Xenopus tropicalis: one gene and its partners. The protein of the gene in region 1 interacts with the protein of each later gene in a pairwise test. Links are inferred from orthologs where the notes say so. Each region holds a gene or a part of one and is shown on either strand. Other genes may lie near its edges. The genes, in order: sgta, serpine1 and eva1b.

Region 1 (3,620 bases):
TGTATTGAAATCTGTTTTTCAAAAACTTTGAAGCTGAGTTTGCAGACTCAAGGCAATTTTGATATCAATTAATAGAAAGAGAAAGAATTACTGTCATGTTATTACTTTTCTTAAACCTGTATCTGTGTTTTAATTATTGTGGCCAGAGGTAGTTTTTGGTGTATGTACCATTAGATGAGCAGAGAATCTTGTTTTTCTTAGGCAATGAGCAAATGAAATTAGAAAATTTTGAAAGTGCTATTTCCTACTACTCAAAAGCTCTTGAACTGAACCCAACAAATGCTGTGTACTACTGCAACAGGTATGTATCTACATACAAGAAATATGTGTGTGTGTATATATCTCTGCTCTTCCCACGAAGAATTAAATAGCAGGCAAGCTTAACCTTTCCCGTGCCTGCCTGTCTGCTTCTAAGGGCACTCCCTCCCCCACCATTACACATAGACAACGGAGCTGAGTTTGTCACACACCGCTGAAAGCAGAAGGGGCATTGCAGGTTTGTGACTGGGCATATTTATTCACTTGGGAGGCATTTCAATTAAAACCCGGAAGAGGGGAACAAACATGGCTGCTCCATGGGTCTCATGCTACCATAATTATGAAGCGAAAAAACTTTGCAGATTTAGGTTCTAAGGAATTTAAAGCTGATACAAATTAAAACACAACAGCAGGTGTAAAAAAAATGTTCAAGTGGCTGTCCATAACACTTTAATATTTAATTTAGAAATTTCATACATATATATATATATATATATATTAAAATGTACTGTTCTGTTCAGTAATTTGTGCCTGTTTTTGTCTTTAGTAACATTAGTAACATATTTTTGCACACAACTTTTACATAAAAGCTTCTGGTTTCATTTGTCATGTCATGTATCTGCAACAGTTGCAAAACAAGGCATTATTAATCACTATATTGCGTGTCTTTTTACACAGGGCTGCAGCTTACAGCAAACTGGGCAACTATGCTGGAGCTGTGAGGGACTGTGAAGAGGCAATTACAATTGACCCTAACTACAGCAAAGCTTATGGCAGAATGGGGTATGTTCCTGTTTAAGTTACTTTACCTTACAATTATGGAAGAAATGTTTTTAAACCATTCTTTTTTAATATTTTTAGACTGGCACTTTCAAGCTTGAATAAACATGCAGAAGCTGTAGGTTTTTACAAACAAGCCCTGATACTGGATCCAGACAATGAAACCTACAAATCAAACCTAAAGATTGCAGAACAGAAAATGAAAGAGCTGCCCAGCCCAGTGAGTATTCTTTGTTTATCCTGTGGTGGGGAGATCTGTTTTTATAAGTAATCTAACAGGATCTTTAATTTCATCTAGATGGCTGCTCCTGGAGGTTTTGATTTGGCTGGCTTGCTCAATAACCCAGGCTTTATGAGCATGGTAAGTATCCTCTTTAGTGTTTTTATCAAGATTGTATTTTCTTCTCTTAATTTGAGAATAGGGGCATAATATGGAGCTAAAATTGTCATTATATAGATGTTTTATATATTTATTATTAATTTAATTAATTTTTGTACAAAAAAATGCTTGAGATGCTTGAATATATTGGTTCACCGTCATTTTACTTTAATTGACTAGTAGTCTTATTGTGCAAAAACCAGCACCATCTAAATTGAGCAATACACAAAGATGGTGTACTAACATTTATAGAATACTTATTGTTCTAAATCAGTGCTGTCCAACTTCTGTTGTACCGAGGGCCGGAATTTTTCCGGCCTACGTGGTGGAGGGCCGATAATGGAAGCCAGTTTTGACCACTCCCCTTTTTGAAACCGCACCCACTTGAAACCACACCCATGTTATCACATGACCATACCCATATTAATGGTTGTAGTACAGCAAAAACCTGCCATACTCTGCCTGCCCTACCCTGCCTGCGTGCCATACTTTCACTGTGTGTGCCATTCTTGGCTGGTTTGTGCCAAACTTGGCCTGTGTGTGCCATACTCTGCCTGCCCTACTCTGCCTGTGTGTGCCATACTCTGCTTGCCTTATGCTGCCTGTGTGTATGGCACACACAGGCAGCCTACAGTGACACAATGCTGGCACTGCTCCTACAGTCTGCACAATAACTATATATTAAAATTTTTTATTTGCAGTACCAGCTCAGTATATGTTCTTTTTGTAGTGTGCAGGGATTATTTGTGGGTTTCTACTGCTCCTGAGGTGTGAACAGGGGAACAATGGGGGTGATTACAGCCTGAGCCTGAGGTGTCAACACTGCAGGGGGAACAATGCAGAGATTAAAAGGTGTGAACAACTCAGGGGATTACATGTTTAAACAATACAGGGGGATTACAGCCTGAATCTGAGGTGAGAACCATGCAGGGGGCCAGCTAATCTCAGTACTGATACCATTTAAAGTTTACACAAGAGTAAGCCATCAAAGCAGCCAGACAGGTGGGGGGCCACACAGAGGGGGGTCACGGGCCGCATGCGGCCCGCGGGCCGCCAGTTGGACAGCACTGTTCTAAATCATCAAGTCCAGTGTCACCAAGAACAATTGTGTACAGTGCAGATTTTCTTTTCTCTCTCCATCTGTCTGCTATAAGTCTAAAAGCCTTTGTGCATGTAGAACTTACAGCATTTTCACTATTATGTCTTTTCACTGTAGGCGTCAAATCTTATGAATAACCCCCAAGTTCAGCAACTGTAAGTTGTATTACATTAAGTCTTTACATTTTTCAGATTTAAATTGTACAGCTATAGGAAGTGTAGACAGTGAGATTCAGTACACAGCTTTTTTCTAACCACACATTTAGTAAATAGGCTCTTTATAATAGACTTGGGGCATTATTATTTTAAACAAAAACTTTATCCCCAAACAATGTAGGTCTCTATAAAAATATAATGCATAAACAAGCTCATGTGTAAAACCCTGCTTCATCTAAATAAACCATTTTCATGAAAATATACTTTTTTAGTACTATAGGCTATTGGGTACTGCTAAATAGAAAATTGTCATTTTAAAAATTAAGGGCCACCTCCTGGAATCATAGGATTCACAGTGCACACAAACAAACCAAGGCACACATACATGGTAGGCCCCATCAGCCACACTTCTTCCTGTTACAGTTAGAGCTGCATTAGTTCTGGTCATGTGATCTCTGAGGGGGCACACGGACCATCACTAAATAGTGGATCAAGGGAAAGGATGTAAAAGGGTAATATTTACTGATATATATATTCCAGTATGGCGAGTTCTTTAATAGATAACATAATGTAAACTTGTGCTGGTTTATAGTTAGTTAAGTATTAATTCTGGGGGTATAGTTTTCCTTTAAGGTTTGCCTGAAATCTGTTTTGCCAGTGAACATGACAGCCAATATGTGTGGGGTACAACTGAAGATTTGGGTTTAGGATGAGGCTACTCGGATTTTCTACTACACCAACTGAATTGAACTGATACCATTTCAGCCATGTATTAGCATATTAAAGGAGAAGGAAAGTCTAAATCACTGGGGGGTTCCAAACGTTAGGTACTCCCATTGATTGTAATAACTTACCTAAAAAGGGAGAAGAAAGAAAGAGGATCACTTGCCTGCAGTAACCTCTGGGCAGTTCAGTTTTCTCCCAACAGGAGCACTGGCCAGGAGTTAAT
Region 2 (3,757 bases), on another chromosome or scaffold:
AGCTCTGAATTACAGAAAGCCCGTCTCCCATAGACTCCATTTTAAACAAATAATATAGAATTTTAAAACTGATTTCCCTTTTCTCTGTAATAATAAAACAGTACCTGTACTTGATCCCAACTAAGATATAATTACCCCTTATTGGGGGCAGAACAGCCCTATTGGGTTTATTTCATGGTTAAATGATTCCCTTTTCTCTGTAATAATAAAACAGTACCTGTACTTGATCCCAACTAAGATATAATTACCCCTTATTGGGGCAGAACAGCCCTATTGGGTTTATTTAATGGTTAAATGATTCCCTTTTCTCTGTAATAATAAAACAGTACCTGTACTTGATCCCAACTAAGATATAATTACCCCTTATTGGGGGCAGAACAGCCCTATTGGGTTTATTTAATGGTTAAATGATTCCCTTTTCTCTGTAATAATAAAACAGTACCTGTACTTGATCCCAACTAAGATATAATTACCCCTTATTGGGGCAGAACAGCCCTATTGGGTTTTTTTCATGGTTAAATGATTCCCTTTTCTCTGTAATAATAAAACAGTACCTGTACTTGATCCCAACTAAGATATAATTACCCCTTATTGGGGCAGAACAGCCCTATTGGGTTTATTTCATGGTTAAATGATTCCCTTTTCTCTGTAATAATAAAACAGTACCTGTACTTGATCCCAACTAAGATATAATTACCCATTATTGGGGCAGAACAGCCCTATTGGGTTTATTTCATGGTTAAATGATTCCCTTTTCTCTGTAATAATAAAACAGTACCTGTACTTGATCCCAACTAAGATATAATTACCCCTTATTGGGGGCAGAACAGCCCTATTGGGTTTATTTAATGGTTAAATGATTCCCTTTTCTCTGTAATAATAAAACAGTACCTGTACTTGATCCCAACTAAGATATAATTACCCCTTATTGGGGCAGAACAGCCCTATTGGGTTTATTTCATGGTTAAATGATTCCCCTTTCTCTGTAATAATAAAACAGTACCTGTACTTGATCCCAACTAAGATATAATTACCCCTTATTGGGGGCAGAACTTGTAATCAATAAGCTAAAAATAGACTGGTTTTGTCCCATCTGGTTTAATACACTAGACTGTTTATTTACTTTAAGTTGCTATGAAGTCATAACATTAACTTTGCACTTCTATGAACTTATCACCCATCTCCAAATAAATGGGCTTTCTGTGTATTAGACAAGTGACCTGAAATATTAAATAAACTATAACCATAGAAACAAGCTTAGGCTGGGGTGGCTAGAGGGACAGCGTCAGAATTTTTTCCAAGGAATTCCTCTGGCTGACAGCGGGCTCGCTGTGCCTTTGTACACACAGACATTCTCACACTTGCACAGACAGACAGAAGCACTCTGCTCCCATTGGTCGCAATCTAGAGGCCGATCCCATTATTCATCTTTGGCACTCTAGACTGAACATGTGGTTTCCACATGTGTTGGGAAACACCCCGGCGATGTCAGGGGTAGGAGGAAGTATAAATACAGGGCTACGTGTGAGCCTATTCCACAGCAGCCAGAAGCTTGCAGGGAAACAGCTGCACAGAAATAATAGCCTTGCTGTCATCTACAGAACACCAGGAGCAACAGACAAAATGTCACGCAACTTAAGGCGAGTCCTTGAATCTCTTGGAGTGATATTGTTGCCTTACTCTCTCGTACTTTCTCCTGAACTTCTCCTTATTCCTCTCCATAGGTGCATGATCTCTCTCTCGTACTTTCTCCTGAACTTCTCCTTATTCCTCTCCATAGGTGCATTATCTCTCTCTCGTACTTTCTCCTGAACTTCTCCTTATTCCTCTCCATAGGTGCATGATCTCTCTCTCGTACTTTCTCTTGAACTTCTCCTTATTCATCTCCATAGGTGCATGATCTCTCTCTCGTACTTTCTCTTGAACTTCTCCTTATTCATCTCCATAGGTGCATGATCTCTCTCTCGTACTTTCTCCTGAACTTCTCCTTATTCATCTCCATAGGTGCATGATCTCTCTCTCGTACTTTCTCCTGAACTTCTCCTTATTCCTCTCCATAGGTGCATTATCTCTCTCTCGTACTTTCTCCTGAACTTCTCCTTATTCCTCTCCATAGGTGCATTTCTCCTGAACTTCTCCTTATTCCTCTCCATAGGTGCATGATCTCTATCTTGTACTTTCTCCTGAACTTATCCTTATTCCTCTCCATAGGTGCATGATCTCTCTCTCGTACTTTCTCCTGAACTTCTCCTTATTCCTCTCCATAGGTGCATGATTTCTCTCTCGTACTTTCTCTTGAACTTCTCCTTATTCCTCTCCATAGGTGCATGATCTCTATCTTGTACTTTCTCCTGAACTTCTCCTTATTCCTCTCCATAGGTGCATGATCTCTCTCTCGTACTTTCTCCTGAACTTCTCCTTATTCCTCTCCATAGGTGCATGATTTCTCTCTCGTACTTTCTCTTGAACTTCTCCTTATTCCTCTCCACAGGTGCATGATCTCTCTCTCGTACTTTCTCTTGAACTTCTCCTTATTCCTCTCCACAGGTGCATGATAGTCGTCTTACTTTCCCTGGCATCAGTCACGTCTGCCCAAAACAGAGTGTCTCGTGTGGCTCAGAAAGGCACAAGTTTTGGGTTACGCTTGTTCCAAGAGGTTCTTGCAGACCAATGGGGAAAGAACCTGGGCTTCTCGCCTTATGGGGTAACTTCTGCCTTGAGTGTCCTTCAGTCGGGTGCAGCTGGGACGACACTGGATCAGATTCGCAAAGCTCTAAATTATGGACATAAAGGTACGGTGGGCAAACACTCAATACTCAAATATGCCTAATTAGCAATTAGTAAATATAAAAAACCTGTAGATAAAAATACTGGTGTCACTGGGCAAATCTGCCTGCAAAGTAATCCATCCACACCAATCAACAATTTTCTATAGAGGTAGAATAATCAAAGTTACTATCTTTCCTTCCTGTGCAGAATGGGCAGTGGCCTTGGCACTAAATAAACTTCGGGAGCAGATTTCTGGACAGCAAAAATCTGCTGAAGACCCCAAGCCGGTACACATTGCAGATGGTCTCTTTGTACAGCGGGACCTGTCGCTGACCCCAGGCTTTCTCCAAAGATTTCAAGCAACTTTCCACCGACACCTCAGCCAGGTCAATTTTACTGATGTGGCCCAAGCCAAGGACATCATAAATCAATGGGTAGAGAACAAGACAGATGGTAAGTATTACTATTACCAATTATATATATCTCTTATGTTGGAGTATATATTAGCAATCAACTGTTCTACTGTCAACCTTATTTGCTTCATCGTTTACCTTATTTACAAAGTCAAGAGATGGAATATATAATTACTTTCAATATTAAAATAACAAATAGCTGGGCAAGACCACCTTGTAGATAGTTAGACCATTAGAACATTCATAGGACCAGGTCAGCACTATTCTTTGATTAGTGATCTTATCGCCTTCATACCCTATAGCACAGGGGTCCCCAACCTTTCTTACTCGGGAGCCACAGTCAAATGTAAAAAGACTTGGAGAGCAACACAAGCACCATAAAAGTTCATGGAGGAGCCAAATAAGGGCTGTGATTGGCTATTAGGGGCCTCTATGCACCCTATCAGCTTACAGGGGCTTTATTTGGTAGGAAATCTTGTTTTTATTCAACCAAAACTTGACCCCAAGTCAGGAATTCAAAAATAACTCCCTGGTTTGGGGGCACTGAGAGCAACACCCAAGGGGTTGGGGAGCAA
Region 3 (3,757 bases), on another chromosome or scaffold:
GACAAGGAAATGCCATCATTTGATCAAGCTTTGGGTGTCTGCAGGATGGCCCTACGGTGGGGCCCCTCAGTCTGTGCAAAGAAGAGAAAGCCAGTTAGGTCAGGCATTTACTTGATATATTAACAGCAAACCACAGTTTGGTGCTGTTGAGGGGACTGCTTAAATAATGTTTTAATAAAGATTTGACCTCTCGTCTCTTAATTTGTATGCATTTGTTTTGTTTGGCAACCTTAAGACACGCCACAGTTAATGACAAGGCATTTGTAGCCAAAACAGTATTAATCAGCAGACTTTTGGATGTTCCTTGAAAGCTCATTATTGTGCAGAAACCATAACATGTGTGGTTAAAACATAAATATAAAAGTAATAAATTATACAATTGCCCCCCTAGGTAGCATCCCCCAGTCTAAATAAAAAGAATGAGATAACTAATTATGTAATCACAGTTAGTTTTACCTTTAATTGATGAGTGAAACAACTGACAGTGTAATGTTTAGGGCACATAGTTTGAAACAGCAAATATCAGGTAGAATTGTATTTTTTAATTTCCTGTTGAGCAGAAAAGCTTTGTGTGCATAGCACATCTCTACACTTCTGTCTGCATTTGATGTTGATGTGTAGCATCTCTCATTGAAATCAGTGAAACTAAACCCTTATGTTTCTGTGTTCTTGTCACAACGTGATTCTTGATTGTCCAACAGCAGCAATATGCCACCAACTAATAAAATATTTGTATGGTTCAATTTACAAAATTAATTATCTAAATAGTATTAGAATTGTATTTTTTAATTTCCTGTTGAGCACAAAAGCTTTGTGTGCATAGCACATCTCTACACTTCTGTCTGCATTTGATGTTGATGTGTAGCATCTCTCATTGAAATCAGTGAAACTAAACCCTTATGTTTTGGTGTTCTTGTCACAATGTGATTCTTGATTGTCCAACAGCAGCAATATGCCACCAACTAATGAAATATTTGTATGGTTCAATTTATAAAATTAATTATCAAAGCAGCCCTCATTGTTGTGCTATGCCTAAAACTGACTATTTAGTAAAGGAAGGGTAGAAATCTAATATAGACGGTATAGTGAACAGCACATGTAGTTAGAGGGCATTAGTTCCTACATGTTTGTGTGGTACTGTTGATAGGAAAAGGTAAATGAGAAGAGGCTGTGCGGTTTGGAAAGCCCGGTTAGCTGGCTTGTACTAGCTCAGTTCCTGTAAGCAGCCAGGAGTTTATGGCTAAACTACATCTGGATGGAGGGGAGGGGGACGGGATAGAGGCGGAGGGCGGGCTGTGCTTTCATTACTCTCACAGTCCCGCTCAGAGCAGTTGGGACACATACTCGTCTCGGACTGGAAAGTCAATGGCTGCTGCATCGCAATGACACTGCCACACAAACAGAGCCCGGCATGAAGAGACACAGTATCTGTACAGAGGGAATCTAAAAGGGATTTCCAGCGTTACAGTCGCAGCCATACCAGGATACCCTGCAGTTAAGTTTCACAGGGTGAGTACTGAATATATGAATATATGTGGAGAGGTGGAGCTATTCTGCTGAGATAACTATATTAATTGTTCTCGGAATATATGCTTATTTTTAGAATATCCTAAATGAAAACATATAATTGAGAGAAAAAACTTTATTATAAAAAAGTTTTTTTTCCCCCAGTAACCCCTTCTTAAGGGGTTAGAAGACCCTAGTACATTTTTTAACATAAGTTTGCCTTCTTGACACTTATTTGTGTGAAATATACAGCACATTGCTCTGGGCTTATGTGGGACCCACACTGTACAGGTATAGGACCTGTTATCCAGAATGCTCGGGACCTGGGGTTTTCTGGATAAGGGATCTTTCCATAATTTGGATCTCCATAACTTAAGTTTGCTAAAAATCATTTAAACATTAAATAAACCCAATAGGCTTGTTTTGCCTCCAATAAGGATTAATTATATCTAAATTGGGATCAAGTATAAGGTACTGTTTTATTATCACAGAGAAAAAGGAAATCATTTAAAAAAATTAGAATTATTTGCTTATAATGGTGTCTATGGGAGATAGCCTTTCCGTAATTCTGGATAACGGGTTTCCGGATAAGGGATACCACACCTGTATGTAGCAAATCTGGGAATTTATCTCAACTCAATTACTGTGAAACAGAAGTGCGCTGAATGGATAATGTGAAGGCCAGCTAGTCACACACATTAATGATAGACTTATTCATGTATATATCACAGCATTCAAACCAATGTATGTAGAGTGGTGCAAATTTATAGTGGTATTCGGGTGCATTTATGTTTATGGATATCTTTCTGAGGGAACATGTGACTTTGTATCTACAACTTTATGCGACTGGATAAAAAATTGTATTATATGCGGTGTGAATGTTAGTTCATAGTGATAGTGTGACCTGACACATTTGGTATAATTAAATCTATTTGTGGCTAGTTGCGGCTGCAACTCACCAGTAGATAGGGTTCACTTACAGTGGCTACTTCTCAGGAACTGTACAAGCCAGCGTTACAGGTTTCATTTTTATCAAGCTGGCAGTTCGAACCATCAATATGGTAGTTCAAGATGCAACTATATATGCCCTGAGCATACGGAGGACTATTTTAAGGGGCTTGTGATTTGGTAGCTAGGGGATTTTCCTTATTTCTATATAGTAGTGTGCAAGTTCAGAAAGTATATATTATAATCTCTCTGTTTCTCTCTCTCACTCTATCTCTCTCTTTCTATATTTTATTTAGTATGTATAATATTTTATGTTGAAAAAAGGTATGTCTATGTGGGAGGCTGCGGGAGTTGTTTTTGTCCCCTCTCAGTCATTGCAATATTATGGTCTTCCAGTTCTCGGTTTGTGACAGATAGCAGCTGTACTATGCCAGGAAAGGAAAAGGGTGACGCCCAGCTGTCAGGGCATGCATCCCAGCATACATCCACCCAGGACTTCCAGACAGCTGCAGGGGGTGAAAAGACACTCTTGTCACATAAGGAAGCACTTCACACCCATTTGATCAGCTGATCAACTCATTCACAAATAGTTTTGAAGTGGTTGCTCCCAAAGGAGGTCAAATCATCAAAGGATGCCACAGTTCCTAATGCTTGTATGAGATGAGTAAGGGGTGTCATGTGTAAGTCAATATCCTTCCAGTGAATTAAAGCATGCGTGAGCTGGAGTTTTTTTCTTTAAAAAAAAACAAAACTTTTTTGATAAGGTGAACTACACTGTGTAGTTATTTGGAGAATTGTATGTGGTCTGATGTAGCCACTATTGCTTTATTGGAAATAATGAGATTAAGGCATCATACAGTCATACCATCATATAGATTACAGGATTTCTAGACAAGTCAACCAGTTGGAAATCTGCCATGTATCATTATATTTTTGTTTTAAAATATATTGTACGGTGTAGAACTCTATCATTTTGTTCCATTTGTAAGGTGGCACAGTGTGGTATTAGGTGTTTCAGTGTTCCTCCTTACAAATGCTTTGTTGTTTCACATAAGTTATACAAACATACATACATACATTCATACATACACGTGCCTGACTAAAACTGGAATCAGAAAAGTGCAGAAGCTTACCTTAACAAATCCTTACACAGTGAAATGGATAGTCACAGAAGGAATTTCTTGAGGTCCACTTCTACACGAGTTCTGTCTCTGAAGGCACATGGTGAAAGAACCCTGTTATTCAAGCCAGTGTACAGCCAGGCCAGTTGTGCTGCAGTATCATGCAATACAGTAAAGTATTG

The links.
Region 2: the proteins of sgta (region 1) and serpine1 interact in binary tests that used the Homo sapiens proteins (3 or more experiments, as listed by UniProt). The two-hybrid records come from large-scale screens. The link is inferred for Xenopus tropicalis from reciprocal best matches to the Homo sapiens genes SGTA and SERPINE1.
Region 3: the proteins of sgta (region 1) and eva1b interact in binary tests that used the Homo sapiens proteins (3 or more experiments, as listed by UniProt). The two-hybrid records come from large-scale screens. The link is inferred for Xenopus tropicalis from reciprocal best matches to the Homo sapiens genes SGTA and EVA1B.

Annotation. Positions count from the first base shown.
Region 1 is NC_030677.2:99,263,101-99,266,720, forward strand, and holds part of sgta (small glutamine-rich tetratricopeptide repeat-containing protein alpha), read left to right. Parts: intron 1-201; coding exon 202-301; intron 302-936; coding exon 937-1,041; intron 1,042-1,119; coding exon 1,120-1,258; intron 1,259-1,336; coding exon 1,337-1,399; intron 1,400-2,633; coding exon 2,634-2,671; intron 2,672-3,620. UniProt on the Homo sapiens protein: Co-chaperone that binds misfolded and hydrophobic patches-containing client proteins in the cytosol. Mediates their targeting to the endoplasmic reticulum but also regulates their sorting to the proteasome when targeting fails.
Region 2 is NC_030679.2:143,401,208-143,404,964, forward strand, and holds the start of serpine1 (plasminogen activator inhibitor 1), read left to right. Parts: upstream 1-1,526; 5' UTR 1,527-1,623; coding exon 1,624-1,640; intron 1,641-2,547; coding exon 2,548-2,792; intron 2,793-2,976; coding exon 2,977-3,222; intron 3,223-3,757. UniProt on the Homo sapiens protein: Serine protease inhibitor. Inhibits TMPRSS7. Is a primary inhibitor of tissue-type plasminogen activator (PLAT) and urokinase-type plasminogen activator (PLAU).
Region 3 is NC_030678.2:85,067,866-85,071,622, forward strand, and holds the start of eva1b (eva-1 homolog B), read left to right. Parts: upstream 1-1,355; 5' UTR 1,356-1,509; intron 1,510-3,757.